Linked DNA regions of Saccharomyces cerevisiae S288C. Changing the gene in region 1 together with any one later gene gives a genetic interaction. Each region holds a gene or a part of one and is shown in the gene's direction. Other genes may lie near its edges.

The links.
Region 2: mutations in MAD2 (region 1) and PAC10 are lethal when combined (synthetic lethality), as found in Saccharomyces cerevisiae (5 studies listed by BioGRID, with this or other methods).
Region 3: mutations in MAD2 (region 1) and HCM1 together harm fitness more than expected from each alone (negative genetic interaction), as found in Saccharomyces cerevisiae (8 studies listed by BioGRID, with this or other methods).
Region 4: mutations in MAD2 (region 1) and CIN1 together harm fitness more than expected from each alone (negative genetic interaction), as found in Saccharomyces cerevisiae (8 studies listed by BioGRID, with this or other methods).

The regions. Positions count from the first base shown.
Region 1 is NC_001142.9:386,132-392,607, forward strand, and holds MAD2 (spindle checkpoint protein MAD2), read left to right. Parts: upstream 1-1,525; coding exon 1,526-2,116; downstream 2,117-6,476. Other genes in the region: RNA-dependent ATPase HCA4, read left to right, coding at 1-18; Rab geranylgeranyltransferase BET4, read right to left, coding at 237-1,217, 1,305-1,307; VPS53 (Vps53p), read right to left, coding at 2,254-4,722; YJL028W (uncharacterized protein), read left to right, coding at 5,180-5,515; YJL027C (uncharacterized protein), read right to left, coding at 5,702-6,118; ribonucleotide-diphosphate reductase subunit RNR2, read left to right, coding at 6,273-6,476. UniProt on the Saccharomyces cerevisiae protein: Central component of the spindle assembly checkpoint which is a feedback control that prevents cells with incompletely assembled spindles from leaving mitosis. Thought to be recruited to unattached kinetochores by MAD1.
Region 2 is NC_001139.9:635,412-642,259, reverse strand, and holds PAC10 (tubulin-binding prefolding complex subunit PAC10), read left to right. Parts: upstream 1-1,888; coding exon 1,889-2,488; downstream 2,489-6,848. Other genes in the region: twinfilin TWF1, read right to left, coding at 1-250; YGR079W (uncharacterized protein), read right to left, coding at 428-1,540; PEX8 (Pex8p), read left to right, coding at 2,747-4,516; mitochondrial 54S ribosomal protein mL59 MRPL25, read left to right, coding at 4,683-5,156; U4/U6-U5 snRNP complex subunit PRP38, read left to right, coding at 5,385-6,113; mRNA splicing protein SMD1, read right to left, coding at 6,108-6,548; UPF3 (Upf3p), read right to left, coding at 6,793-6,848. UniProt on the Saccharomyces cerevisiae protein: Binds specifically to cytosolic chaperonin (c-CPN) and transfers target proteins to it. Binds to nascent polypeptide chain and promotes folding in an environment in which there are many competing pathways for nonnative proteins.
Region 3 is NC_001135.5:225,466-233,025, forward strand, and holds HCM1 (Hcm1p), read left to right. Parts: upstream 1-3,844; coding exon 3,845-5,539; downstream 5,540-7,560. Other genes in the region: TVS1 (Tvs1p), read left to right, coding at 98-1,993; U2 snRNP complex subunit BUD31, read left to right, coding at 2,853-3,326; E3 ubiquitin-protein ligase RAD18, read left to right, coding at 6,035-7,498. UniProt on the Saccharomyces cerevisiae protein: Transcription factor regulating the cell cycle specific transcription of a spindle pole body (SPB) calmodulin binding protein SPC110. Required for full induction of SPC110 transcription in late G1. Binds to DNA consensus sequence 5'-[AT]AA[TC]AAACAA[AT]-3'.
Region 4 is NC_001147.6:987,818-997,193, forward strand, and holds CIN1 (Cin1p), read left to right. Parts: upstream 1-1,971; coding exon 1,972-5,016; downstream 5,017-9,376. Other genes in the region: proline permease PUT4, read right to left, coding at 1-965; MNE1 (Mne1p), read right to left, coding at 5,047-7,038; serine/threonine protein kinase MEK1, read right to left, coding at 7,201-8,694.

The DNA.
Region 1 (6,476 bases):
AAATTAATCCAGGGTTAAACCCTCCTGCATAGTCTAACCTATAGTATTTAGAACTTGTATACATCTATTCTCTACACTAATATACTTATTTCTTTGTTCAAATCATCGGTAATATTACAATAAAAGAAAAATATGCATATACTTTCGTGCATTGAAGGTGTCAAATGAAATCCCGCTTATAGTGAACAGGCTTCCATCATATATACATATATATATATGTTTATATATGTATATCATCACTTATGCTGCTCCAGGAGATGTAGGTATCTATTCTTTCTTAACGGATCCGCATCTATTAATTGGACCAAATATTGTTCCGAGCTTCTTTCCGTTAGAGCTTCCTTTTCTTCCAGAATATCTTCGAGAACTAATAAAATTTTCAAGCACCAAATATTTTGCTTCCCGGAAAATTCAATTTCGTCATTATTTATTAACAGAATGTTTTCTCTCAAGTCTTTCAACATTTTAAGGTACTCTTGTTCGTCCAGAGTTTTACAAACAATGTCGTTTTTAATGAACCACTTGATATAAAACCATACGGATTGGTCTTCGGCGTCGGTAAACATAGCGTTGATGATATAAGATATTTCAGTCCGAATATACTCCTTTTGATTCCCAACCTCTCCTTTCTGAAACATTCTGCTTATGATCTGTACTCTTTGGTGCCATGCAGAATAATTTGAAATGTTATTGTTAATCTTTATTGTTGTGTATTCAAACTCCTCCTTGTCAAGACTTTTATTAGTGATACTCTCTATGTTACCAACAACTATTCTGCGGTAATGCCATCCGTGGTAATTTCTTGCATCTTGTTCCAATAACTTATTCACGACAGCAAGTTCAGTTTGCCACACTTTAGGGGAACTCGTAGGATAATGTTTCAAGACCCAAAGTCTGTGATTCCATATCCAATAGACTTTGGGGTAATCCTTCAATAGCATCATTACAAAAACTAACTCTTTATCCCAGAAAGGTATTTCCAACTCAGAAGCCAAACTCGCTATAATATCCCTTCTGTAATTCCAAATAGCATTAAATTCCGGATTTTTCTCAAGAAGTTCTGATGTTTTCTTCAGAGCTTCAATTGAGTAAATTTTTTCATCTCTCATATTCAAAACATTTTCAGTCAAGCTTCTATAATCATATATTTTCTTTTCGTCTTGAACTCTCTTTTGTCTCAGTAATTCCTTGGTCCACTGTTTCCTTTTAATGCCATGCTGTTTAATGTGGCAAATATAAAAAATTGCTTGGTAGTCAGTAAAAAAAAGAATTCATAATGTAACGAACATTTGAAGTGCACATACCATTGCTGACCTACTGCTTTATAGTATAAATTCAGTATACTAGGTATATGTGGCTCAAAAATGTGGTTTTTTTCTTTTTTGCCTTTAATTTTTTTCAAATGTTTACGTATGGTTTATGATTTAACATTTCAAGAATAGAAATCGCCCCGAAGAATGATTGATGTTAAATACTCGTACAAGAGTATTGAAAACCACTTCAAAGGGGCCCAATAGCACATTTAATGTCACAATCAATATCACTAAAGGGTTCAACAAGGACAGTTACAGAATTTTTCGAGTACAGCATTAATTCCATTTTGTACCAAAGAGGCGTATACCCAGCAGAAGATTTCGTAACGGTGAAAAAGTACGATCTTACGTTACTAAAGACACATGATGATGAACTGAAAGATTACATTCGGAAAATTCTTCTACAAGTTCACAGGTGGCTTCTTGGTGGAAAATGCAATCAATTAGTATTATGTATTGTAGACAAGGATGAGGGAGAGGTGGTGGAAAGATGGTCCTTCAATGTGCAACACATTTCTGGCAATAGCAACGGGCAGGATGATGTTGTAGATTTAAATACAACACAATCACAAATCAGAGCTTTAATCAGGCAAATCACCTCAAGCGTTACCTTTCTGCCCGAACTAACAAAAGAAGGTGGGTACACATTCACAGTACTTGCATATACAGACGCGGATGCTAAAGTTCCGTTAGAATGGGCCGACTCCAATAGTAAAGAGATACCTGATGGTGAAGTAGTTCAATTCAAAACATTCTCTACCAACGATCATAAAGTTGGTGCGCAGGTCAGCTATAAATATTAATAGAATTCAAGTCAAAAAAAAAAAAAAAGACGGAAGTCCAAAAAAATCTCGTTTTCGATGTTTAGAAAGAATATAGATTTATGAACTATATTATACTATACTACGTACTTCCTCTGTAAACCACTTCATGCGTTTTTTCAAGTGCCTCTGTTAAAGAACCTTGAGTGAGAAACGAAGTCTTTGACACTCAAACTTTGCTTTTTTTGTTCTTCTTTTTGTTGTTGTATTTGAGGGGTGGATACTATCCTCTTCATAACAGGTGGTGATATTTTCAGATCTTGCCTCACAAATTTTGACCAATTCGGATCTTGCATCCTTGCCAAGTTGTTTTCAAATTGACCCAAAAGTACCTTGTCCCACTTGAATATGAAAAGATCGCGATTACTGTCTGGCCTGCTGCCCTCGTCAGTGTCGTCTGTTTCTAAGTTGTAGGCACTCCATAGCTTTTTCCATAATGCCAGGTCCCATGGAATGCCCTTTAAAGCGAGGACAAAAGACCATACCGCTGAATCAGGGTTATTATTGGTCAATTTGGAGTAGGTCTCGTAATAGTCATCAGCGGAATCCAGAGGAGCCATTAGAAGTTTAATAAACTTCAGCAGCTGGTCTATATTATTGTCTGCATGTCTTTTCACCCTCTTATAAGAGGTATTTTCTCGCAAGTCAGAATCGTTACTTACACTTTCTGGTAAAGTGTGAAAAATCTCCTTCAGCAATTCTAAATCAAGGAGAAGCTGCTCGCCAATGTTGACAACAGTTCTGGTTTCAAATTTCCTTTTGCTGCCCGCCAGGGAAAAGGGTGGAACGGGCTGCAGAAGGCGGATGGTATTGCTTACAAAATTTGTAGTGATGATATCAATCACCTTATCCAAGAAATTCCACTTATAAACATCTCTATTGAATTGCGACAAAATAAATGCCAAAGTCGAAGGTTGCTCTTGCTGTTGTTTAATAGAGGCATCTGTTAATGCGGGCATTTTAAGTACGGATTTGAGGGTTACCATGTACCTGCTATAATCTTCTATCGCAGCATTTGACCAATCATTGTTGATAAACTCTCTCCATACAAAATTTAGATCTAAGGGTATGACACGGTTTAATAGAAAAGAAGTTCCTTTTGCTAGTAAATCGTCGTATATATTTTTCGTTTTCGTAAAACTGTTTGCCAGCTTTTCACGATTACCGCTGAATTCAGATAATTTATCCTCCAATTGATCTATAGTCGTGGCACAATAATCTGCAGTATTGATCAATAAAACGGTATACTTGGCAGCTTCTAGCTTATCCTGGACTTCAATATTGTCGGGCAGCAGTAAAGGAAGAAGAATTTTTTGTGAGTAAGTTTGAAGCCATCTACTGAAAAAATTTGCCAATGAAGTCAATATGCTATCATTGGCATTATTATCAATGAGCTCTAAGGTCTGAGTCAGTACGGAACGATATGTCCTGAAAAGGTCTGCACTCGAGGGTAACACGAGAGATTCTGTTTCATTAGATGGGTACTTCGGCTCACTCATATAAGAAAGAAATTTCTTTTCCATCATTTGGTTTTGGTGAGACACCCATAAAGTCAAATAAGGTTCGAAGCAGGAACTTAGTTTTGGTTCCTTAATTTTTTTTGAAAATCGTACGTCGATGTATTTTTCGAAATCTAGCGTCGATTGTAATGCTGTCATGAATAGATCAATGGAAGGGTTCTTGTCTTTGAATTCCCTTTTCAGAAGTGTCTGAAGGTCCTTGTGTGTAATGTGATAAAAAGTGGTGGTCAATCTGACTGCCATTTCCCAGTCTTTTAAGAAATAGTCTGCGAACTTTGAATTGAAGTTATTAAGAATTTTTTTGAAGTAAATGTATCTTCTCGATAAATTTTCTAGGGATCCGGCTTCATCGTCGACCCTAAATATCTCTTTCATTTCGAAGAGAAGTTTGTCCAAACACCAATCTATCATCTGGGCTCTCGTACTTGTATCGCAGTCGAGTAGCTCGCAGGCACCTTCGCGCAATTCCATAGTGAGTGCTGTATCATGCTCTGAGATATTGCCGCCGGAAAAGAGCGCATTGTAGTTTTGTTTAATTTTGGACAAAGTGTCTCCTTTCAGTCTTGAAATGGAGCTCAACAAATAGTTTATCTCGTCCAATGATTTGTAAGAGATGAATGTGTTTTCAGCAAGCGAACACATTATCTTATAAGGGGACACCATTTTTTTGAATGAGCCCTGTGAGAGTAATTCATTGCATTGTATGTAACTGTCTGTCAATATCTTTAAATTTTGGAAAAGAGTCAAAGAGTGGGTGAGGTTTTTCTTGGCAATGTCCAGGTACGAGATACCTTCTGTCAGATTCGATATCGTCAACTCGGTGGAGGCTGAGACATCTTGAGTTTCTTTGAAATCTTGGAAAACTTTCCTCAGAGAAGCCTCTATTTCAGCGGAATTTTTAGGGTGTTCCTTCAATTCATTCTCTTCTTTGAGAATATCCTCTTGCAATTGCTTTTTGTAGCTTCTGGTAATACTGATCAGTTCATCTATGTTGTTCAGGGATTCTTTTGAAAAAAGTATATTGGTAATATCTTCCAGCGGGTCATAATCTACCGTACCTTCCAGCATTGTCCTTCTGAGAAAACAAAAATGGAAGATGTTGTGAAAATGCAGTAAGTGACAATAAGCTAGCGACTTTTCAATGATCGCAGATTAAGTATATATACACTTTAGGTCTCCTTCTCTTCTTTACTAGCTACGAAAAAACAAAGAAAAAAAAAACAAAATAGAGGGAAAAAAGATATACGTATAAAAATATGCTCCAGGGGAGGTTCGAACTCTCGACCTTCAGATTATGAGACTGACGCTCTTCCTACTGAGCTACTGAAGCACTATTTCTTGTTCCAACCGAGGAATAATACTAGACCTGTAGAAAAGTACCGCTTATCTAATATCCAACTTTTTCTTCTGTTCCCTTTAGTGAATTCAAGATGAAGGAACATAACAGAACGGAAAACAAAAAAAAAGGGAAGAAAAAAGATATCACCACCAATTGGCACGCTCGCAACGGTTTCGGGCCAGATTCATGGCCCTGTGGGGTAGAAGTGCCTACAGACAAAAAACCGTTACGTCCCGCCTCACCAAGCATCGACACACAAGCCCTCTCAACCTCCTTAATTTCTTTATCTTTTTTTCCCTTCACCTCTGTGCTCTTTTTTTAGCCACAGCTGTGCATTACGCTTGCTTTGCTTGTTTTGTTCTCTTTCGCCATGCCATATTACTACTTTTCTACTTACTGGCACGAGGCCGCGCAAGCCAGATCCAAGCACGCCAGAAAGTGCGGTGTACTGGTGCAACCTTTTATCGATTTCTCATCATATCGCTATCGCAACGGGCATGGGCGACGAAAAAGCCAATCTAAAGCGTTGTCTTCCTCGTTCCTCGCGCACGCGATTTTGCGTTCTGCATAGGAAGCCGAAGTCGAACAAGAAGCAGGCAAAGTTTAGAGCACTGCCCCTCCGCACTCAAAAAAGAAAAAACTAGGAGGAAAATAAAATTCTCAACCACACAAACACATAAACACATACAAATACAAATACAAGCTTATTTACTTGACATCGCGCGATCTTCCACTATTCAGCGCCGTCCGCCCTCTCTCGTGTTTTTTGTTTACGCGACAACTATGCGAAATCCGGAGCAACGGGCAACCGTTTGGGGAAAGACCACACCCACGCGCGATCGCCATGGCAACGAGGTCGCACACGCCCCACACCCAGACCTCCCTGCGAGCGGGCATGGGTACAATGTCCCCGTTGCCACAGAGACCACTTCGTAGCACAGCGCAGAGCGTAGCGTGTTGTTGCTGCTGACAAAAGAAAATTTTTCTTAGCAAAGCAAAGGAGGGGAAGCACGGGCAGATAGCACCGTACCATACCCTTGGAAACTCGAAATGAACGAAGCAGGAAATGAGAGAATGAGAGTTTTGTAGGTATATATAGCGGTAGTGTTTGCGCGTTACCATCATCTTCTGGATCTATCTATTGTTCTTTTCCTCATCACTTTCCCCTTTTTCGCTCTTCTTCTTGTCTTTTATTTCTTTCTTTTTTTTAATTGTTCCCTCGATTGGCTATCTACCAAAGAATCCAAACTTAATACACGTATTTATTTGTCCAATTACCATGCCTAAAGAGACCCCTTCCAAAGCTGCTGCCGATGCATTGTCCGACTTGGAAATCAAAGATTCCAAGTCCAACCTTAACAAGGAATTGGAGACATTGAGAGAGGAAAACAGAGTAAAGTCAGACATGCTTAAGGAGAAATTGAGCAAGGACGCTGAAAATCACAAGGCTTACTTGAAATCTCATCAAGTTCACCGTCACAAA
Region 2 (6,848 bases), on another chromosome or scaffold:
CATCGGGGATGAATGACACAAAGAAGTACTTATCAAGCCCTTCCGGCTTATAGAAGATGTACAACGGTTCTCTTTCTTGTGATGCCAACTGTACCAGCTCCTCGAAGCTACGTGCGACTTGCGTTTGATGTACCGAGGTAGAATCAGGGGAAATTTTGGCTATAATGATGACGATGCCATCTGCTGAAAGATTTTCATTCAGAGAATGCAGCAAGGCTTGTTCTGCGACTATACCGGATTGAGTAGACATGTGATGTGTTGAGATACAGAGTTCCTTCTTATTCAATTGCCTATCAAATTAGCCAACTTGTCCAAATAGTAAAAGATATAGATCTTATAATGACATATTTTTCAAATCCTACAAAAACAAGTTACCCTAACACTGTATAAAAAGAATCTATTTATTGTACTGTTAATAGTACTGTTATTACAACATGAATTCACCGATACCAAAACCAGCTGATAACGTCTGGCAAACACCACTCTTTCTTCTTATGGCCCTCTTCAACAGCTTATCTCTTTTAGACAAGGGTTTCCACTTTTTAGAAATTGCAGAGGATGAGCGCAGGGAATTCTTCAAAAACTTCCTTTTTTTCAAGGTGAACTTGCCCTCATTGTCTCTGTAGCACAATAACTTGATATTGTAGTCCAAATTATCAAGAAGGGAGGAAGATGGTGATGAAGATGGGGAGGGTTCCATGGCTTCAGCACTGTTGATATCATCTTTGATGAAGTCCTCTATTCCCAATGTGTCGTTCGAACTCGTGGTGGCGTCGCCTGGATGCAGAGCCACGAGGGAGCATTTTCTTTGTCTTGTCTCCTGCAGGCAAATGGCCTCTTCTGCAGTGCCATTTACTTCCTTCCAGAAGTCCGTATTATTTGCGTCACTCTTGCTATTGTCGCCGAAAAAGAATGATTGCTGTATCTGTGGTAGAAAGATACTGCTCTCGCTGCTATCGTGGAAATTATTCTTGTTGTGATTTTCCTCCATGGGTAGTTCATTGTCCGCACTGTAACTAAATGTGCTGTTGGTGAAGGAAGGCTGGTGGCATGGGGAGAAGAGAGGATCAGGCTCAGAACTATAGCCGAGCGTACTTTCGAGGTCGTCATCATCGTCATCATCGTGTAAATCTCCGTTTTGGGTGCCATCGTCCTCGGTGGCGTTCTCAGATAGTGAACCGGCAGTATCTATCGAACGAGCAGTGGTGATGATGATTGGGGTGGCCTCGACTGCACTGGCTGTGGTGTTTTTACCATCTGCTGTCCCGCGAGTGTCCGCTTTCTTTGTGTGCGATCTGGACAAGGGAGTAATATCCTCCTTGGTGATGACCTTATTCGGTACCTGAAATGCCTTGCTGCTTTTATTCATTGCTACGTAAACTATGCTATATGATACAAGTGAACGCTCGTCGAGGGAATAACTGCTGCGTGTGCGTGAACGAGTAAATGAATGAATGAATGAGTTAACACATGAAAACGAAGATAATCGCAAAACGACAATGAACAAATAAACACATCCCTCATTTGCGGCACTGCTCATCTCATCTCATCCTTTATATTAGGAGGCAACGAGCTTTCTCGCTCACCAAAAAGAAACGTGCGAAAAAAACCGAAAAATAAAAAAAAAAAAAAAAAAAAAAAAGAAACGCGCTGCAGGAACGTGACTTCCAAAAAAGGAAGGTGCCGTTCCAATATGGAAACCGCAGGCACTCATGATTGTGCAGGACGGGTAACACATGATTTGTTTCGTTTCTTCGATCATTTTGCAGAACTGGTCAGAAAAGAAAGTGAAAAAATCTAGTTTAACACTATTGTAGAGGCTATAAATTGTAGACAACATTTACTGCAGAAAACTGTACGCACATATATAACAGATACTACGGTTATTATGGACACACTGTTCAACTCCACGGAAAAGAATGCCAGAGGCATACCGCAGGCTCCATTCATCGAAAATGTCAACGAAATAATTAAGGACCCAAGCGACTTCGAATTGTGCTTCAATAAGTTCCAAGAACGGCTTTCTAAGTACAAATTTATGCAGGAATCTAAATTGGCTACGATAAAGCAGCTGAAGACTAGAATCCCGGACTTGGAAAACACATTAAAAATATGCCAAAGTCTGCGCAATCACAGCGACGAGGGCGATGAGAGCGATGAACCTATCCTGTTGCACTACCAATTGAACGACACGCTCTACACAAAGGCTCAGGTTGATATACCGGAAGATCGGGCGGATTTGAAAGTTGGGTTGTGGCTTGGCGCAGACGTGATGCTGGAATATCCCATCGACGAGGCCATAGAGTTGTTAAAGAAGAAACTCGCGGATTCCGAACAGTCTTTAACGGTGTCCACCGAGGACGTAGAGTTTTTGAGGGAAAATATCACGACAATGGAGGTCAATTGCGCGCGATTGTATAACTGGGACGTTCAGAGAAGGCAAGACTTGAAGCAGGCTCAAGAAGGGACTAAAAACCTCAAGATATAATGTGTCTGTAAATTTAAATCCAAAGAAAAATAAAGGGCACTACATAGAACAACACAATCAACCTACATAGCTCTCTTTTTTTTTTTTTTTTTTTTTTTCTTTTTTGTTTTTTCTCAATTTTCTTCATTTTTTGCATTGTTACTACTCTCCCATTAAGGGAAATTCTACCAGGAAAACCGAAGAAGACAAATGCAAAAGGGAAATATGAATACGCATGTATGCGCGCAAAACCGCACTTACAGAGGGCATTAGGACATTATGTTTGATCATGACGTCGAATATCTGATCACTGCACTCTCTTCCGAAACGAGGATCCAGTATGATCAACGCCTGCTAGACGAAATCGCGGCCAATGTGGTATACTACGTCCCAAGAGTCAAATCCCCCGACACTTTGTATCGCTTGGTCGGAGCACTTTTCCGATCGCAGTTCATTGTCCAATTACCACCACTACGCCTTTTGCACATCGTCAAAGATGTTTTCCTTTGGAAACTGGAAGTTTCTGAGCCCACGCTCCCAATTTCGAAGTTTTACTTGGTTTGGAATGCTGTTTTCGAATCTCACCGAGCCACGTGGAACCTTTCACAGTTGATGGTTTTGGATGGTGTACTAGTCACATACCCGAGCTTCAAACAATTGAACAACGCCTATTTTATTGATGAATCCAGCAACAAAACTGCGCTTTATTACAGAAACTGGAAATTACAACTGTTTTCACCAATATGGGCGCAGCTATGGAATACTGCCATTGTCAGGGCTAATTTATCGATTCAGCATTGCCTTCTGATAGCATTAGCTTTACTTTTTAATCAGTCAAACCGAAGCGCCCTTTTGCATGGAGTTGACGTATCATGGAATTTGGTCACAGAGAAACTATTGGACCTTTTGGAAGAGTATGTACACGGCATTGTGCAGCCGATGGAAATTTTTTCGACTGATTCAGTCTTATCAACCAACTTGAATCATTTGGCCAGTTGCTTGACCAGTTCAATCACGAGGTCAAATGAGGCAACTTTGGTAAATTCAGTACGCAAACTAGAAAGGATATGTCGATACTTGTCCGATACTGTGGCTTCGTTGAAAGAACAACAACTAGATTTCAAGTTCCAAAATGTATTTATCCTGATAATCCTCGCGTTAAAAGAATTATCCGCCATGAATATGACAATACTGCCTAACCATAAAGACACTTTTTATTCTATGATCTGTTTAAGCCTTTTCCACGTCCACGTATTGACTCAAAAAATCGGGACAGTCGGTTTTCCCAGTTACGATTATGTTTACGATAATTTAGTAACGTATTTCATTGTCATGGATGACTTGTCTAAAATCACTACAGTTTTGGAACTAATGAAAAGAAACAACACCAAACAAGATCCAAATAAATTAGTGTTTTACATCAATTTTCTAAACAAAATTACTAATTACTATGGGTGTCGCATTCGTTTGCCGTTTATTACTGAGTTTATCGAACCTTTACTGCATTTCGATGTATTTTTTAGCGGGAAGACGGGCAATACCTTGGATATTGAAATCAAAGAATCTATACACACATTGACAATCACTGTACTGTCTATAGACTCCTCTTATTCCTCACAGGTTGCACAATGGCAAGTATCCCGCATACTCGTCTATTTAAAGATGTCGATGGACCAATTTATTGCAGGTAAATTGTCCGCAAATCAAATTTTACTTATATTCGGCCATCTATCCACACAACTTCCCTCACTACATAATTATAACAAGCATTTGCTTAGGGACTCTTTGCACGAGACGTATATCAGAATTGTTAATGTAAAAAACCCAGAAAAGAAGAATGTATTGATTGAATGTCTGATTGTACAAATAGCCTTTATCAACAATCCTCATCATTTGATCGGCTGGTTGAACATCTGTCTCCAGCTAATCAATACACATAACAAAAAGCTACTTCAACAATTGTGGGAAATGGTTTCGAGTCTAGAATCCTCCCTAGCCATCGACTGGTGGTACACAACGGTCTTATCAAGTCAATCTTCTAAATTATAGTATCATTAAGTACTTTATAGTAGCGCCTTTTTATATTCCTTTTTTCTCAAACAAAAAAAAAAAATGACTGGGATACAAGTGAAAGTGGAAGAGCAAGTGAAATACGAAATAAAGTGAACCATTTATACAGAATAGGAAAACCAACTAGTGCATTAAACTAAACTCCATGTCATACAAACAGTATTTTGATAGTTTGCCTTTGAAATTGAAGTCCTTTTTCCAAAGATACCCCCCTTCAATCAAGTATTCTCCAGTGTCTACATCTACTAAAGCCATTAATGCCAATCCTTTCCTGCCAAATAAACATCCGGTCACACAACGATTTCATGATCCGAAATATTCACTTAGAAGAATGAGTGACGTATATAAGTTGGCACTGCGTTATGGAGTAGAAGAGTTTTTACCACCGATCGAAAACACTAAGAAACTTTTCTTCGAGGAGAAATACAATAAAAAGACCCTCATGAAAGGTGTTCTCTTGCCCAAGGGTCATAAGCATGAATTGAAATTAAACGAAAAGCTAAAAAAACGTGAAGAAGCTTTAAAGAAGGTAGATGAGTTGATTGCTTCCAAGAAGGGTTCGAAGTATGCCAAGAGAGTAGAAAAAATGAAAAAAAACCAAAGTATAGGCTGGTTCTGAAGAATAAGAGAGAAGATAACTATAGTTTAGAATAGTAAACCCTATGTGTACTGTTTTATGTTTTTAATGTCTAATCATGTAAATAATTTTGTGATATCAATAACGAACGTTCTGAACAAGAATTATGATAAAAAAAAGTAAAATCTAAAGCCATTACAACGCTATATTTTCAGTGGCAGTAAAAACGCAAGAACAAAAACAAAACGTGGGTAAAGAACAAGGACTACAATGGCTGTCAATGAATTTCAAGTGGAGTCTAACATCTCTCCAAAACAACTGAATAACCAGTCAGTGTCACTTGTTATTCCTCGGTTGACAAGAGATAAAATTCATAATTCAATGTACTATAAAGTAAATCTAAGCAACGAATCTTTGAGAGGCAATACAATGGTAGAGCTTTTGAAAGTTATGATTGGCGCATTTGGTACCATAAAAGGTCAAAATGGTCATTTACACATGATGGTTCTCGGTGGCATTGAGTTTAAATGCATCTTAATGAAGTTAATCGAAATCAGACCGAATTTCCAGCAGTTGAACTTCTTATTGAATGTAAAAAATGAGAACGGTTTTGACTCGAAATATATTATTGCTTTGCTTCTGGTTTATGCGCGGTTACAGTATTATTATTTGAATGGCAATAACAAAAACGATGATGATGAAAATGATTTGATAAAGTTATTTAAAGTACAATTATACAAATATTCACAGCATTATTTCAAACTAAAAAGTTTCCCACTACAAGTAGACTGCTTTGCTCACTCCTATAACGAAGAACTTTGTATAATACACATTGATGAATTAGTCGATTGGTTGGCCACACAGGACCATATCTGGGGTATTCCATTAGGGAAATGTCAATGGAATAAAATATACAACTCTGATGAAGAGAGTAGTTCTAGCGAAAGCGAAAGTAATGGTGACAGTGAAGATGACAACGACACCAGCAGCGAATCATAGACCTCTTCTTGGCCTTTTATTCGCTGGTGCACCAAAATCGCGCCTTCTCTTTTTGCTGGGGTCATTTGCAATTTGACCCGATCTTCTTAGGGAATTAAGTTGCTTTTGGTCAACCAAAAGTGAATCCAGGTTCAAGGAATCAGGTAAGATTATCTGTCTTATGGTATTGCCTCTAATGTTTATGTATTGCAAACTTGCTATGTTGTCACTTGCAGTAGGTTGCTGTCCTCCAGTCAAGTACAGACTAGCCATCGCAATACCATTACTGTTCAATTTATTTAGTCGGGGTTGTGGTAGGGTCAACTTCACGTCAGTTAAGATAGCATTCATTTGTGGTGATACCGACTGCAGTGTACCCCAAACGGTGGTACCGTTTTTTAGTTCTATGGTAACCTGCTCATTGCGCAGCTTTTTTAAAAAGTTAACCAACTTCATAATCTTTTTCTCGACGATTTATAAACGATACTTGGAGTCATCTTTCTTCATGACAATTTCATTGTATATGAACATTTCATATATTTTATTATTTTAAATATTCATTGAAAAATCATTAAATACGAAACTCAGAATTTATAATGGGGAATACTTTATGTAATAATATAATCATAAAATATATAATTCTTATTATTTTATTATAAATGTATTCCATATATAATATATAAGAAGCCATGAGCTTTTACTACTTCTTGGTATCATCACGATGCAAAATTTTTACCCGTGGTACGAAAAGGTTTT
Region 3 (7,560 bases), on another chromosome or scaffold:
AGAATACTTGCAAGGGTCTTGTCTATTGTATAATTCGCTAGTATTTGTTTTGCATTGTACTCTTAATACCCCAACCAAAAACAAAATAGTGAGAGTAATGGTGCGTTTTGTTTCAATTTTAAGTTTATTCGGCTGCGCGGCGACGCTTGTCACGGCCCATGATGACATGGACATGGACATGGATATGGACATGGATATGGACATGAATATCGATACGACAACGTCTCAATCCATAGATGTCTCATCCACGGCTTCAATCGTCCCCGTGCCACATGAACCAAAACATTTGCATGGCCTTCCTATACTGCAATCGCCCTCGCTTACCCCTGCGGAGAGATTGTACTGGGAAAACTACAACACCACAACCTACTTTACTACACAGGCTGGGAATAGGTCTGCCCTTCGCTACCACATTATTACGCTGCTCTTGGTTGCATTTGTGCTCTACCCTGTGTCCCTGGCGCTAAGCGCCGCCCGTTCTAGGTGGTACTTACCCCTGCTGTTTGTTAATCTATGCATTTGTATTTCGTCCGTAATGGCATTGTCCGTGTTCAAAAATACTTTCCCGGAAGAAGACTGGTATGCGCATAATATCTATGGCACCACTTCTGTGCTACTTCTCGTTTTTATGCTTGTTCACTTCTTCGCTGCGGTGCTTTCTGTCCCCGTCTCATTAGCATCGAAAAAGGAGTACCGTCCGGTTGACACCATCCCTCTGAATGATCTTGAATCTACGCCCGTCATGGTGAATAGTGCACGTGGCTCTCCAAGTCCTTCTTCCAACAGAGACACGTTGTTCTCGCTCTCTTCAGACACCACGACCGCCACGGCCACCAATAATAATAAACGGAGACGCGCTGAAGGCGAAGACGAGGGTGATAACACCTCCAACCACGACACTTTGCGCGACGAAGACTACGATAATGATGACGACGAAATTGCTTCCATTGAAGCGCCACCTCTGCTTCCTCAAGACATACCCGTTTTCCGAATCTTGTTTACCAACACGAAGTACCAGATGCTTGCCGCGCACCTCTCGTGCGTCGCCAACGTGGTCTTTCACATGCTTACCTACCCGCTATTCATGTACATCTTTGTAGACCTAATCATCGGCTTCGCTGTAGGTAACTTGCTCGGCAAGGGCATCCGCATCTTTAATCTCTTGGCCCACTGGATTAAGGGCGGCGTATTTTTTACTCTGGGCGTTGTCTCTTTAGCAAGATACTGCGGTTTCGCAGCTAAGTACGGCTGGGCATGGAACAACATCAGCTTCACCTCTCAACTCACACAAACGCGTTCCTCCAATCTTCTTTTCCGGTTTGCTCCTGCGGGGACTTTCACCATGGAATTCGTTGAATCCTTCCTCATTTTCTTTTACGGGTCCACCAACATCTTCTTGGAGCACCTGGCAGGAAACGGCGGCGCATGGACTGCCAAGGATTTACAGCATGTGTCGATCGCGTTTATGTTCATAGGAACCGGATTGTGTGGGCTACTCACGGAGTACAAGCTCAACCATTGGCGATTCGAGCATGCCCGCAAACGGCCACAGACCGATGTAGTTGCTGCCACACCGGGGTACTCTCCAAACCCGTTCCCCGCTTTCACCATATTTTGGACTGGGATTCTGATGTCCCAGCACGCACAGTCCTCGCAATTTTCTACTACCATTCACACGCAATGGGGATACTTGTTGTCCTATGGGTCCTTCTTCCGTCTGCTAACATTTTTGATTCTGTTTTTGGTGCCCAACACCAACAGTGCCGCATCCAAGCCTTTCACGGAGTTGATCACCTCGTTCTGTCTCCTCTGTGGTGGTCTGGTATTTATGGAGTCCACGGATCAGTCCATTGAAGCCATGGAATATAGGGGGTTTACCCCCATGTTCACTTTCAACCTCAGTGTTGGATTCGTTTCTTTGTTGATGGCTTGGGAAATGATTTTATTTATTTGGAAAGACTGGCTCATCAAAACCAGGAAAACCAGTCTTTAACCGCCATAATGGCTTTTCTTTTTTCTTTTTTTTTTCACCCCCCCCTCATCTTTGAGTGAGAAGCTTATATGCTTTACTTTTCCTCACCTACTTTTTAATTCTTAATTATTAGTTTATCCAGCATTCAGTCAATTCTGAATGCGTTATCGCTTCCTCAAAATTTATAAAAATGAATAAGCAAGATCTCATTGGAATTGAGTTCAATGACGATTATTGAGGGCCCATACCTGATAAAAGTGAATATATTATGTATAATGACTCTACTGGAGGTTCTCTCTGAGAATGTAAAATAATCCACAAAAGACATGAAAATTAGTTACTCTACATAATGTATAATAAGTTCTTCCTTCCTTTTTTCTTTTTTTAGTTTTTCTACTCACCATCCTACCTACGCCAAGCTGCTCTACTGTCTTGGATCTGTGAAAAAACGCCTAGAAACATGTATAAAACCTACCGCTTTAAACCATAATTTCAAATCGAAATGGCACTATGGCCGAGTGGTTAAGGCGAGAGACTCGAATGGAATAAAAAGTTCGGCTATCTCTTGGGCTCTGCCCGCGCTGGTTCAAATCCTGCTGGTGTCGTTTAATTTTTTTTAAATAACATCGTTGATTAAAACAATCCTATTCACTGCAGTCACAGACTTAGCACATTTACAACCAGTACAAGATCAATCACACGCGTTGTGGTAGGAACTTTGACGATGATACTGCGTTGGCTCTTGAACGCATAGTACATTTGTCGTTCACAACGGAAAGTGAAATACTGAAAAAAAAAGAAAAATTTTCTTAGGGACTCATCATCAATGTAAACACCTCTACAGCCGTCAAGACTAGCAAAGCTCACCTCACAAAACGACATGCCGCGCATAAAGACCAGAAGATCCAAGCCTGCACCTGACGGGTTCGAAAAAATCAAGCCAACCCTCACAGATTTCGAAATCCAACTCAGAGATGCCCAAAAGGACAAGTCGTCTAAGCTCGCAGCAAAGTCCAATGAGCAGCTCTGGGAGATAATGCAACTCCACCACCAGCGCTCTAGATACATATATACTCTGTACTACAAGAGAAAGGCCATCTCCAAAGACCTTTACGATTGGTTGATAAAGGAAAAGTATGCTGATAAATTGCTAATTGCCAAATGGCGCAAAACCGGGTATGAAAAACTGTGCTGTCTGCGCTGCATTCAAAAGAACGAAACTAACAACGGTAGCACTTGCATCTGCAGGGTGCCTCGTGCACAGTTAGAGGAAGAAGCACGCAAAAAGGGCACACAGGTGTCCTTCCATCAGTGCGTCCACTGCGGCTGCCGTGGATGTGCAAGCACAGACTAACGACTATATGCACGTTGCAGTATTGTTCTGGCCATGTAATTATCTCTCTCCCAACGTTTTAGAAGAGGTTTTCGTCTCCTTCGTCAAAGACGACCACTTTCCCATTTTGGTCATTGGAACGCGAAAAAACAAAACAGACGCGAGAACGCGACGCGAAAAAATATATTTTTCCGTTTTTTTTTTTTTTCGGAACAAAGATAACGCGTTAAAACCTGTGGATGTAATAAGGATCTGAAACACTGACTAAAACGCGTCCTCATTTAAAATCAAAAAATTACTTCTTCTCCTCCCTTACGGTGCCCTTTGATCCTTCTCAAACTTTAAATATATGTTGCATGATTAATTGAAAATCATATAGAGTATATCTTAACAGAGGTTCCAACGCTTTAAATCGTATTCTATTCTTTTCCCCCCTTTTATTATAGTTACATCTACTATTTGAGCTTCTTTTATTGACCGAAACTACCTCTTATTTCGAAGCAAAAAAAAAAAAAATCAACAAAAATTCCAACTTTTCAATGATGAATGAAGACATATCCATCATTGATGGCCATAATAGTTTTTTAACGGAAAAAAGCACCGTGCTATTAACCCAAGCCAAGAGAACACTAGAAGACGAAAAGGAAATGATTACTCCCCCGAGCTCAACTGTGAGAAAAACAATGAAGGAAGTAAATAAGAGGCCGTCGCATCCCCTCTCACCGGATCACTCGTCCCCAATTGCTCCATCTAAGGCCAAGCGCCAAAGATCGGACACATGCGCTCGGTCCAATGGTAACCTAACCTTGGAAGAAATTCTTCAATCTTTGGAAAGAAGAAGAATAAATGGTGAACTCGCCAAGAAACCTCCATATTCGTATGCAACTTTGATTTGCTTGGCCATTTTGCAATCTCAGGAGGGAAAGCTAACGCTATCCCAGATATATCATTGGATCCACGTTCACTTCCCTTATTACAAGCAGAAAGATGCTAGTTGGCAAAATTCAATAAGACATAACTTGTCTTTAAATGATGCGTTCATCAAGACTGAAAAGTCCTGCGATGGTAAGGGTCATTTCTGGGAGGTCAGACCGGGTGCCGAAACAAAATTTTTCAAAGGTGAAAATCGTGGTTATGAATTTGTAAAGGACTCCTTACAAGACATTGGGAAGTATTTTGAAATAGATTCTACACTTGATGAATTAGAACAAGTTGAGAGTGGAGAAGGCAATGATGATCTTCCTGACGAGGAAGAAAGAGAGGAAGCAGGGAAATTCCCTTCCATTGAAATTCAATTGAACTCCTCCCCTATACTGAGAGTTTCCCAGTTACATCACATACCGCAATTGAAAACAGACAACAGTGTACTGAACCCTCACGAAAACCTAGAATCGATGCGGAACATGATAGAAAACGATGTCAACAATATAGATTCCTTGGAACCTCCTTATGTCATGAAGAAATATCATACTTCTTTAGGCTTACCGTCGCTGGTGAATGCCAAAGATCATTTCCAGGCGGGTGTGAAAAACAATAATATCACCCAGGCAAATAGATTTAATACACTCCCTATAACTAGCGCAAAGTCTCCTCAGAATTTCAGAAAATATTTCACCTCATTCAATTCAAATTTTGAAGATTTATCTCCACTTCGAAGTAATGTAGGGGCTGGTTCTCTACTCGACCCACTTCCGTATTCCCCATTGAAGCTGTACGATCAGAAAAATCTTGCGCTCATGTCGAAACCACAATCTCAGCAATCATATTCCAATTCTCAACTTCCACCTCCACCTTCCTCTCATGGTTCGGACTTACTTAAAACACCCAAGATGAGGCATTCCGATGGCTTAGAGAAAACCCCATCGCGGTTGATAAGCACACCTAAGGACGGTAACTCGATTTTGAGGAAATGGCAGACTCCTTCACACCTTTTTGAAGATTTGTACTGTTCTCCGCTATTTAGAGCTATAGAGACTCCAATCAGGTATATCACGACGCCGGGGGGCACTTTGGAAACCCAAATTTCACCAAGAAAGTCCTCTGCACCCGATGTCCTCACAAGCGCAACGAATTCCAAATTTGCTTCAAGCGGGCTGTTTGGCGTGGATGTTTATTCTGTTTGGAAGCGCGCAACTGAAAAGATTTCTGATGGTAACAATACTACGGATAGCAATCAAAAACATCATCCTTATCATAATCACCCTTCCAACGATAGCGGTAATGAAAAGAATTGACTTTTTTTTTTTTTTTTTTTCATTTTCTTTTCCTCACCGAAAACTAATTATTCTTAATCTGATGGATTCATCGCAAACGGTTGGATGAGTCCTAAACTGGGCTGGAGTTATCATATCACATAGCATTTTCTTTTTAATCTTATTGTATTGTCGGGTCAACTAACTTCTTTTCCCGCTCTTCTATGGTATAATCAATTGCAGAAGAGGCAGGAAAAAATTGTAATCATAACAAAAATGATACAAATTTTTTTTCTAAGTTTTATATTTTACATATCTTTATTTTTGATCCTTACGGATTTTTAATACAGTATTTAGCTGAAGTTTCCATTCACTTCACTTACCTTTTTGATCTCTTTTATTTTTACTTGCCCCGTTGCCTTGCATTTTTCAATAGAAAGTGAAAAACTAAGTACCACTTGAGCAATGCCACATTAGAAGAAAAACCATCCGCAAGTGAGCATCACAGCTACTAAGAAAAGGCCATTTTTACTACTCATGGACCACCAAATAACCACTGCAAGCGACTTCACGACTACTTCAATACCGAGCCTGTACCAATTGGATACACTTTTGAGATGTCACATTTGTAAAGATTTTCTAAAAGTCCCCGTCTTAACACCTTGTGGCCATACATTTTGTTCCCTTTGTATTAGAACACATTTGAATAACCAACCAAATTGTCCTCTCTGCCTTTTCGAGTTCAGAGAGTCCTTGCTGAGAAGTGAGTTCCTGGTCAGTGAAATAATTCAAAGTTATACATCCCTACGATCTTCCTTACTAGATGCACTAAGGATACCGAAGCCTACCCCTGTCCCTGAGAATGAGGAAGTACCAGGTCCTGAAAATTCTTCATGGATAGAACTCATATCAGAGTCTGAAAGTGACAGTGTAAATGCCGCTGATGATGACTTGCAAATTGTTGCAACAAGTGAAAGAAAACTTGCCAAAAGATCCATGACTGATATATTACCACTGAGTTCCAAACCATCCAAAAGGAATTTTGCAATGTTCAGAAGTGAACGTATCAAGAAAAAATCAAAGCCAAATGAACAAATGGCCCAGTGCCCCATATGTCAACAATTTTATCCTCTTAAAGCCCTTGAAAAAACACATTTGGATGAATGCCTAACTTTACAATCACTAGGCAAAAAACCAAAAATTTCTACCACTTTCCCTACAGAGTCAAATCCACATAACAAAAGTTCATCCAGATTCAAGGTACGAACTCCAGAAGTCGACAAAAGCTCATGTGGTGAGACCTCACATGTGGATAAGTATTTAAACTCAATGATGAGTGCAGAACACCAAAGATTGCCGAAGATCAATTTTACGTCTATGACTCAATCCCAAATAAAACAAAAACTGTCATCGTTGGGACTGTCAACTAATGGTACTAGGCAAAACATGATTAAAAGATACAATCACTACGAAATGCTTTGGAATTCTAATTTTTGTGATTCTCTAGAACCTGTTGATGAAGCTGAACTAAAAAGACAGTTGTTAAGCTGGGATGTTTCACACAATAAAACCCCCCAAAATAGTAGCAACAAGGGTGGAATTTCTAAATTAATGATAATGAAGAGTAATGGGAAATCTTCTTCATATAGGAAATTACTTGAAAATTTCAAAAACGATAAATTTAATAGGAAAGGATGGATGGTTATGTTTCGGAAGGATTTTGCTAGGCTTATCAGGGAAGCAAAAATGAAAATAAAAACAGGTTCATCGGACAGTTCAGGTTCAGTGGGACATTCTAATGATGGAGATGGTGTTGAAAAAGTTCAAAGTGACCAGGGAACCGAGGATCAGCAAATGGAGAAGGATCAGGACACTGTTATCAACGAAGATAGAGTTGCTGGTGAAAGAAATTTGCCTAACGAAGATTCAACTGATGCTGACTTATCAAGAGAATTAATGGACTTGAATGAATATAGTAAAGACCCACCCGGTAACAATTAAGGTGTGTATATGTAATCAGGCCTGTTTGTTAGCTTGTGCACATTTGTTAATTAATAATTTAT
Region 4 (9,376 bases), on another chromosome or scaffold:
GCGAAGGCGCCCTTGATAATCCCAGTGTAGATATCTGTGAAGTTACCCAGCGATCCGCCCGTGAGGTGATGCGCAAAAGCGCCCGGATGTTGCCAGTATCTGAAGCCAAGACGGTCATGGTTGGGGCCACCACCCCAAAACAAAATAAAGGACAGAATGATCAGTCCCACAATGCATAATATCTTGATAGACGCGAACCAAAACTCGGATTCGCCGTACACTTTGACCGCGGAAAAGTTTAGTATAACAACCACGCATAGAAAGATCGTGATCCAAACGCCCTTGGGAACCGCGGTGGTCCAGTATTCGACCACACCGGATGCCGCCGTACACTCGGCGGCCACTAAAATGACGTAGCAGTAGAAGTAATTCCACCCAGTGGCGAAGCCCAACGAAGGGTCAACGTACCTAGTGACCAGATTGGCCGTCGACCCGGCACTGTCAGAACCATCACCGGGCAAAAAGCACACCATTTCGCCCAGCGCGCACATGATCGGGTAGATCACCGCGGAAATAATAATGTACGATATGAACAGCCCCGCGGGACCGCACGTATGAAGCGTGGATGAAGTCCCCACCAGCAAACCGGTACCGATGGCGCCGCCCAGCGCGATCAGTTGCACATGGCGCGACTGCAAACCTTGTTTTAGTTTGTGCGGCTCGCTATCGCCATCGACGGAGGGCGATTTCTCCAAGTCCACGTCCATAATCAAATCCTCGCGGATGGTGCCGTTGGACGACGCGGACTGGTTCTTAGATATTTTCTCCATACGGATGGCGTCATCTTTTTCATTGTCGCTGCGATGATTATTGCGCGACCCGGACGATGGTGATTCCGTTACCTGGACAACATCCTCCTCCTTCTTGGTGTCGCCGCCGCTACCGTCGCCGCTAACATCGTCCGCGCAGGTGACGACTCCCGCGCTGTGTCTATTGTTCTTGTGGAAGGGCAGTATATTTACCATGATTTATTCATTGATGGTGTGATTCTTCGAAACAGCAAAGAATAAAAGAAACTGGAAGGGAAGAGAGAAAAAAAAAGGAAAGGAAGAGGAACACAAACCCCCTATATATATATAGAAGTACATCAGTCTACAAATATTCGAGTGTATAAGTATGTATATACATATATGTTTATGCGTCTGTATCAGTACATGGATGGAGATATGCTGTGCCTACATTCATGGAATATTCAGATTGGGGCATGTACATAAACAGACATAATTAGTATTTTGGCCGTAGGTCCTGCCCTACCCTGCAAGGTTCTTCTTGTTATCAGCACTGGATGGAGGGGTGAAGCAGATAAAACCCCGGTGTAGTTGGCGATAGGCAGAGTGCAGGCACGATGATAGCGAGGGGTTGAAAACGTCCCATTTTCCTTTGATAGGAAATATCGGGCAGAAGTTGAAAAGCGACAAAAGCGACAGGCACACGCGAACCGGCTAGGCCACCCAAACGTCATAGCTAGCGCAATGAAAAAAACTAACGTCGCTTCCCTTTTGGTTTGATGATGTTTCAACTCGCAGCGCGGGTACCCGGGCTGCCGGAACAAAGCCGTGCAAGTAGCGGCTGTCGTCACGCACCATGGGTACCATCTTGTGCCGTGCCGTGCTACCTCAGATTTAGGACCCTGGAGATTTGGCAGACATGACAAGCAATTTTGACAAACTTGTGACAAGATTTGAACCGCGCGGGAATTCACATTGCAGTATGGACGGACATCCGGCCATCGCGCGCGGGCCCGGTATTTGATCTCCGTTTTAGAAGCACAGAAAAAAATAATATGATGTTATGATGTTTAATAGATGGATTCATATCGTCCGGGTAAAAACGCTTTTGGAGAAATCAAGGAAAATCGCCGAGATCACTAGGAAATACTATTACTATTGAAAAAAAAAAAAAGAAAAAAAAAGGAAAGACGATAATATTTTTGGAAAGAACGCCACCACACGCACTTTACACCCTTCAATCATGAACAATATTCGGGCCTTGCTGGACTCGATACAATCTGGAGTTCAGACCGTTTCTCCAGAAAAGCACCAACAGACGATTGCCGCGATCAACAAATTTCAAGATGATCCTGCACTTCTAGACACCATACTACCGAGATGCGTGCCTCTTTTGACCAAGTCGTTCTTTTGTATGTCACAGCGTGATCAGAAACTTGTTGCGGAGCTTTTCTACAATCTTGACAAGATCTCCCACTCAAAAGTCCTTAAATCATTAGATACAAGTATTTTTAGATTAAACGAAATTTTAAACTATTTACAAGATCGAGCCTCGCCCTCTTCTTTCAGCGATGTCTTGTGCGTCTATCTAAACCTTTCTTGGCTAAGCGTCATTCTGCTTTCACCTTACGCATTCAAAGATAAATTCAACAAAACGCTTCAAGTATCTTCCAGGTTCGAGAACTACCCCATTTGCATACCTCCAATTAACAAGATCAAAGCCGTTTTATATTTCAAAAACTTCACAGATGCCTTTGACCAGCTACCGGAACGGGAACAGGCAAATGTGCCGTTTCTCAACCAATTTTTAAAGCTGTTTATTCAGTCTTCGGAAAAGGCAAACTACTACTTCTCCAATGAAAATCTAAGACACTTACAACAAGTTGCACTGTCCAATGACGGAATAAAGCTGCTGCCAAAATTATTCCAGATTTCGTTCAATCATGGCTCTCATGATATCCTAGATGCTATAGTAGAATTCTTCCATGACCATTTAAGTTCGAATTCCACAGACACAAGATTCCAATTGGCACACTCCTTCGCTAAAATTGCCAAGTTCCTGCACCAGGCAGATCCAGCATCTTTTATCGAGCTCATTGATTATACCATCGAAAATACGGTTTCCCTATTACAGGCTCCTTGCGATTCTATCGATAGCAATGAGCTGCACACTTCCCTTCTGATCATCGCCGAGGTGGCTCTGGCCAAAATTCTGCCTATAGATCTAGTCGACCGCGTATTGACTCTGATCATCCCTAAAACATGTCATTTTCAGAAATCTCACTTTCAAATCATCAAGGGCCACCATATCAGGGACTCGACAAACTTCATTATCTGGTCAGTAATAAGGTCAAACCGTAGCAATAGTTTATCGCCGCAGGTTCTACAATCACTACTTTCTCATCTGTTAATAAACGCCTTTTTTGACCCCGAATTAATAATCAGATACTCGAGTTTTGCCGCGCTCCAAGAATTATTGGGCAGGTCCAACAAATCTCTTGCGCTAAATCAAAATGACATTGCTTTGATATTGCAAGCAAATTGGAAGGATCTACCGAGGTCTTTCGAGGAGAACTCTGGTCTAATTCGTAGGCTGTTCAACCCCGAAAACACCTCCAAAAGTGCTGTTTGCGTATGGAAGGTATTCCGCGATTGGTCCTTCAATTGGAATTTACTAGAGAATTTACATTTGACCACAATGAAACTCAACATAGATTATAACCTAGTTCCATTAATCAAGTCGAAATTATCTTCACCCGCTTTATTGCAAGAGGTATTAAACAAGGCTGGCAGCTCAGTTACACAAAATTGTCAAATTTTGTACTTGTACTTGAAACTATTCGAAAATGACGTAAATTGCCCGAAAATAAGCGAGATTTGTATCGACATTTACCAGAAAAAGATAAAATTCCAATTAACTACTCAAGCGAAAAGACAATTTAACGATAATTCGCCCGAACTGTTTCAAATTTTTGTCATTTTGAAATACTGGCAATTAACAGGACAAAATGATTTCAATCAGGAATTGTTTTGGAAATTTGTAGACATAGTATCCCCACAAAAGAAGTTAAATCTGTACAACGAATTCATCCCTATAATACAGCAAATAATATCTCAATGCGTTAGCCTAAACTACACAAGGATTGTTCAATTAATTAAATCAGATAACGAACTGACTTGCCGATCAATATGTCATATGCCCGATCAAGAAAAGATGTGTTCCCTTTTCTTCTCCCAGTTCCCCCTATTGTCACCTCAATCCAGATCGCTTTTGATAGGCGAACTTGATCATCATTGGGATGTTAGAATAAGCTTACTCCCGTCGAATTCGTATCGAAAATTTCGCAACATCATTATCAACTGTCTCGATGATTATACAATAACTCAACAGGGTGATGTAGGACGTCTGGTAAGAATACAGGCTTTAAAACTTATGCAATCCCATCCCGATTTCTTATCTGGTGATTGCGACTCCATCAATCCAAAATTAACGAGATTGCTGGCGGAACCTGTACCAGAGATCAGAAAACTAAGTTATCAATTACTTGCTTCGGCCACATCACAAATCACTGTGTTATCTGACTCTTCGATACTCAATTTCCGTCACAAGCAAGGTTTAAGTGAAGAATTCTGGAAAGGATATGCAGTGAGCGCTGGAGCAATACATTTTACAGATTCTCAGCTTACTTCATCAATAGATTCATTTATCGTATACTACAGATCTTTGTCTCCTTCACAACAGCTGGAATTATGCCACGATTTAATCAGAATAATTCCAAGCGCTAAACAAATCGCTGAATCAAGAATACGCGATCGTAACAAGGATCCATTAACAGGAGGTATGAGATTTGACACCATCAAATTCACCATTCATTGTGTAAAATTTTGGACTAGAATCATGGAATCTGGGTTGGTTGTTCTACATCCAAATTTTAATTTTCAGGGTGTTTTCGCCAAGTTCTATAACCTACATTTATTAGATTGTACGACATTGAGAGTAAGCGTGATCAAATTCTTCCCGTTCTTGGCAATATCTTGTTACCACACAATGAGAGAAAATGCTGACCAGAAGAATCTATCCAACATAATACTGAAAAGGTTGTTGGTTCTTGTGAAACGTGAATACGCCGCAACAAAATCAAAATTTATGACTGATCAAAATGTCGCTTTACAAGGTATGTTCCAGATATTTTTGGAATTAGGTGTCACCAGGCAACTCCAAGCTCTACAAGTGGCCTGCCAGAAACATGAATTGGCGAATATATTAGAGTCTGATATCACTTTATAGAATGTAAACGGCAAATTTTACATATAATCATTATTTTTGTTGCATTTGCTTAGATCTTATGTAAGAAAATAGATTTTCTACTCTCTTTGCATAGGATACATCCGCAGCAAAATTATATTCCGCATCATTTGCGGTAAATAAAGCTTCATTCCGCATTTCTTTATCTCTTTTTGCTTTAGATTTTTGGAAAATTTCTGAATCCATATGAAATAGAGTTTTTCGCTCCCCAAAAATTTTGCGCAATTCCATTATGTTTATTGGTTGAATGGTCCCTTTTTCTGACTTAAATGGTTTATTCTCAACATACCATTCGCCGACGTCATCTGTTATCTGCAAAACTCTATCGGTGTTTTCTTGTATATCAATTTCTAAGCTGGATAGCCATTCAGAAATTGCATCTCCGATTTGTATTGGCAACCTCCACGAAAACTTATCACTAAACTTATCGAAAAGAAAAAATTTGTGACTTTGTGTAACCAACAAATTATAGAAAGCAAAATAGAAAAAATCAGAATCAGAGTAGTTTTTGCAGACTTTCAACATCGAGAGAAAATCGTGGGAGGTAAATTGATAGCCGATTTCATTCAACTGGTTATACAATGCCAGTAGAGTAAGTTTGGTAGAAATATCTTGAGAGGCGCCATGAAAGAGGCAATGAAAAGTGGAATTTTCTTTGTTTCCAACTATATTATCTGTGAGTAATAATGGCTGCCATAAATTTTTTTCGTATACTATGTGCTCGACCAATGAAAGCATAAAATCGAAATCCTTGCGCACAGATAAGTGACACAGTAGCATATCAATAAAAAAAGCTCTTAAGGAATGCAGGTTGGACTCAGCCTGCATTTGGTCATCAACCTCCTTAATGTGCTTTTTCCATACTTCTAAGTTCAGAGGCAAATCACTTAATTTAAACGATAGAAATTGAAGAAATGAATCTTGCTTGAGAGGTTCGAAATTATCTTTTGATAAAATATGTATGCTCTGCTTCAAACTCACGTCAGTTGGTAATTTTTCAAGTCCGAATTGCCTAGTGACAGCGGTAGTTGATGATAATCCATTCATGGTTTCAATAACTTTGAGGCAAGAATGGTTCTGGGATAATTGTATCAAGTTGGAGGAATCATGCTGATCAAAATGAAAGTTCCATTCAGACAAGCTCCTTAAAATCTGACAAGCTTCATTCTCCATATTTTGTGCTATCATTACTTTTAGACTTTTGACTAGGCATGGACTAAATAACTCCAACAATTGAATAGCTCTTTCACGCTCCTTCGAACCTCTTAAACCAGAATCCGGTACACATGAGGATAAAATATCCAACATACTTGTCCATTGGGAGGTCTCCACATAAAATGCCAGCTGGGATAAATTGGCTAATAATTGACCCTCCGAATTTTCCGCGAACAACCGCTGTATTGCCCTTAAGTAGTAGTTCGATTGGGATTTAACAATTAAAAGAGTACAATTCCTCAAAAATTTTATGTTTGCCCGAAATTTTCCTTCTATAGTTAAAGATTTGGTTTTAAGAAAATAATAGCGATCCAATAATTGCAATGAAAATTTAGCTAGTGCAATTTTGTCATTTGCGGACCGAAGCGATAGTTTATAGAGCATATTAGATAGCTCATGATAAAATTCCAAAGGCAGCCGATCAGGTGGGAATGCATCAATCTGTCGGCCACTTTTATTTAGCCATTTTATGTGACCTGTGCCAATACGATTCAACAACGCAAAATACAAAGCAGGATTATCGGATGTACGAAGCTTCTGTAGAGTAGTCAGTACCACATTTAATCGTAAATTTACATTTTGGAGCTTATCTTCATTCAGTTTATCTTTTCTTGTTAGCGCATCCTTCAACCATTTATCAGTTATTGAGTTAGTTCTTTTGTTATTTGGTAAACGTTTATGCGATGATGGCTGTCGCCCTAGCTGTGGTAGTATTTCAGGAGTGATTAAAGAGTCCTTAATCAGCTTACCAATATGACTAGACGAATATCTTTTAAAAAGTAACTTCATATTCTTCTTGGCACACTACTATCATTTTTTCTCGCCGTTTCTAGTAGAAAAGGGCAACTTTTACTTAAAAATCATACAATTGACTTACTTTTTTTTTTTTACACAGATACCTTTTTATTTTGAACTACGCGCAGTTTGAAAGAGGAAGAGATAATCCTATGATTACTCCAAAACCTTCTTCTTTTTCGGTATTGCCTGAGAAATGATAACACTTTTGGGTAACTTCCTTTTCCAGTCTGAATTTATACTTTCTAGTTTAGGGCCTTCGTTATTGCACAATATCTTTTTGTAATATAATCTCTCTAATTGACTTAAGTGTTTTGCAATCCAAATATGTTTGAGACCTTGCTTACTATTTAATCGTTTAACTACGTCAGTTTGCAAAAGGTCTTTGACAAAACTCTTGGCATTATCTGAAACAATATCCCACTGCTTCAGTTTGAAATTCAGCTTCCCAATTTTTGCATTTTGAATAATACTCCTCTCAGAACCATCTCCATAAAAAGGCGAGATCCCTGTTAACATAATGTGTGTAATGACACCCAAAGACCAAAGATCACATTTACTGTCATAACCTCGTTGCTCTAACGTAGCTGCTCTTGAGAAGCTTTGATATGCTTTTCTGTTTGCTCTGAATCCAACTTCTGGAGCGCAGTATTCCGGAGTGCCTACGACAGTATGCATTCTTTCTTTGTTGGAATTTAAATCTTTAGCTATACCAAAGTCTGCCAAGACGATTCTAGTGCACGGTTCTGGCGTACATAACAAAATATTGTCTAGTTTCAAATCGCGGTGAACAATGTCTTGATCATGAAGGTAGTTTAAAGCTTGCAAAATTTGAAAGACGATCAATAGCGATTCAGTTTCTGACATGGAAGTTAGACAGTCGCCTTTAGCTAGGTAAGAAAACAAATCACCACCAGGGATAAGATCCTGGAATATGTAAAGGTGATTGTTCCTGTCACAGAAAGTATGGTAGACTTTGATAATATTTGGGTGATCCAGTCTCAAAAGGATTCGAGCCTCTTTATCGAATTTATTTGGTTTTAGTTTAATGATCTTCACAGCATAATTTTCAGGGTGATAACAGACATCTTCATCACGTTCTTTTGAGTTATGCGTGATCAGAACATGACCGAAAGTGCCATTACCCACTATTCTATTTGTTATTTCCCATTGGTCTACTTCCCTCAGAAAACCCATTTGATCTAAAAGTTTTGGGTCCAGAGAAGATTGTAAATCATCATTAATCATAAAAACTAGTCGTGTTTTTTTAATGTCATTTTCTTCACTTCCCTGCGATAATTCAATAACGTCGCAATGTTTTAAAAGATACGTTTTGTCCCTTTTCAAAAGCAAACCGTTCAAATACGTTCCATTAAGAGAACAATCTTTAACGTAGAACATTGGAATACTATCCTCATCAAAAAAGACACACCAAAACACGCAATGAACAGAGGAGATAGAGGGATTCGTTAGAACGAGTTGACATTCCTTATCATTTCTCCCAACTTTCACGAGCTGATGCTTTACTATAGGTATTGTCTGCTCTGTATTATAGCCGCCTACATTAACTTCCAGGTGAGCAGGAGCTACGCCACCTGCCATCTCAATATCATCTTTGGTTGCAAGGTTGCAGCTATACAACGGTCTCATTCCGCTCTTCTTCTTTCTGTTGTATATTTGGTCCTTAATAAAATTTGAAACGTACAAGAGCACTCCAGAAGGAGCTCAAGTAAAAAATTAGTCAAACCTCTCCCTTTTATACTTGAATGAATGAAATAGCCGCCGAAATTTAGCCGCCATCATTCTTCTTTTCCCCGGCTAAATTACCACGGTATGCTTTATGATTGGAAAATACCCATAAAGTAGGAATAAACTACAAATGATTCCACTTAATGAAAGATAAGCAGACAAATATACTGCATATAAGTGAAAAATAGTGAGGAGATCGCTATCAGTCAATATTGTGAAGGACCTACCTACTCTTTTTCTAGATATATATTTTTTATTTGCACAGGACCCCTCTTGCATAATTGTTCCTACTAATACGGTAGGTAGCACACAATTTTACACCACTTGCTTTACAATCATACCTCATAGGGCCTTCTTATTCTGATAATGCCCCTTTTAGAATGGCTAAACTGCTTACGTCCCGCTTTCTTACGCACTGCGCGCAACATGCAGGAAGAACAAACAACCTCGCCCTGTTTCCATAATGAAGGTCCTTGAAATAGAAGCCCCACAAAAGGGTGGAAATGTGGCAGAATAAACAGTAAGCTAACTGTTGTAGAGACTCCAAGCCCTGGTAAGGAAAGAAATATTATAAAAATAAAAG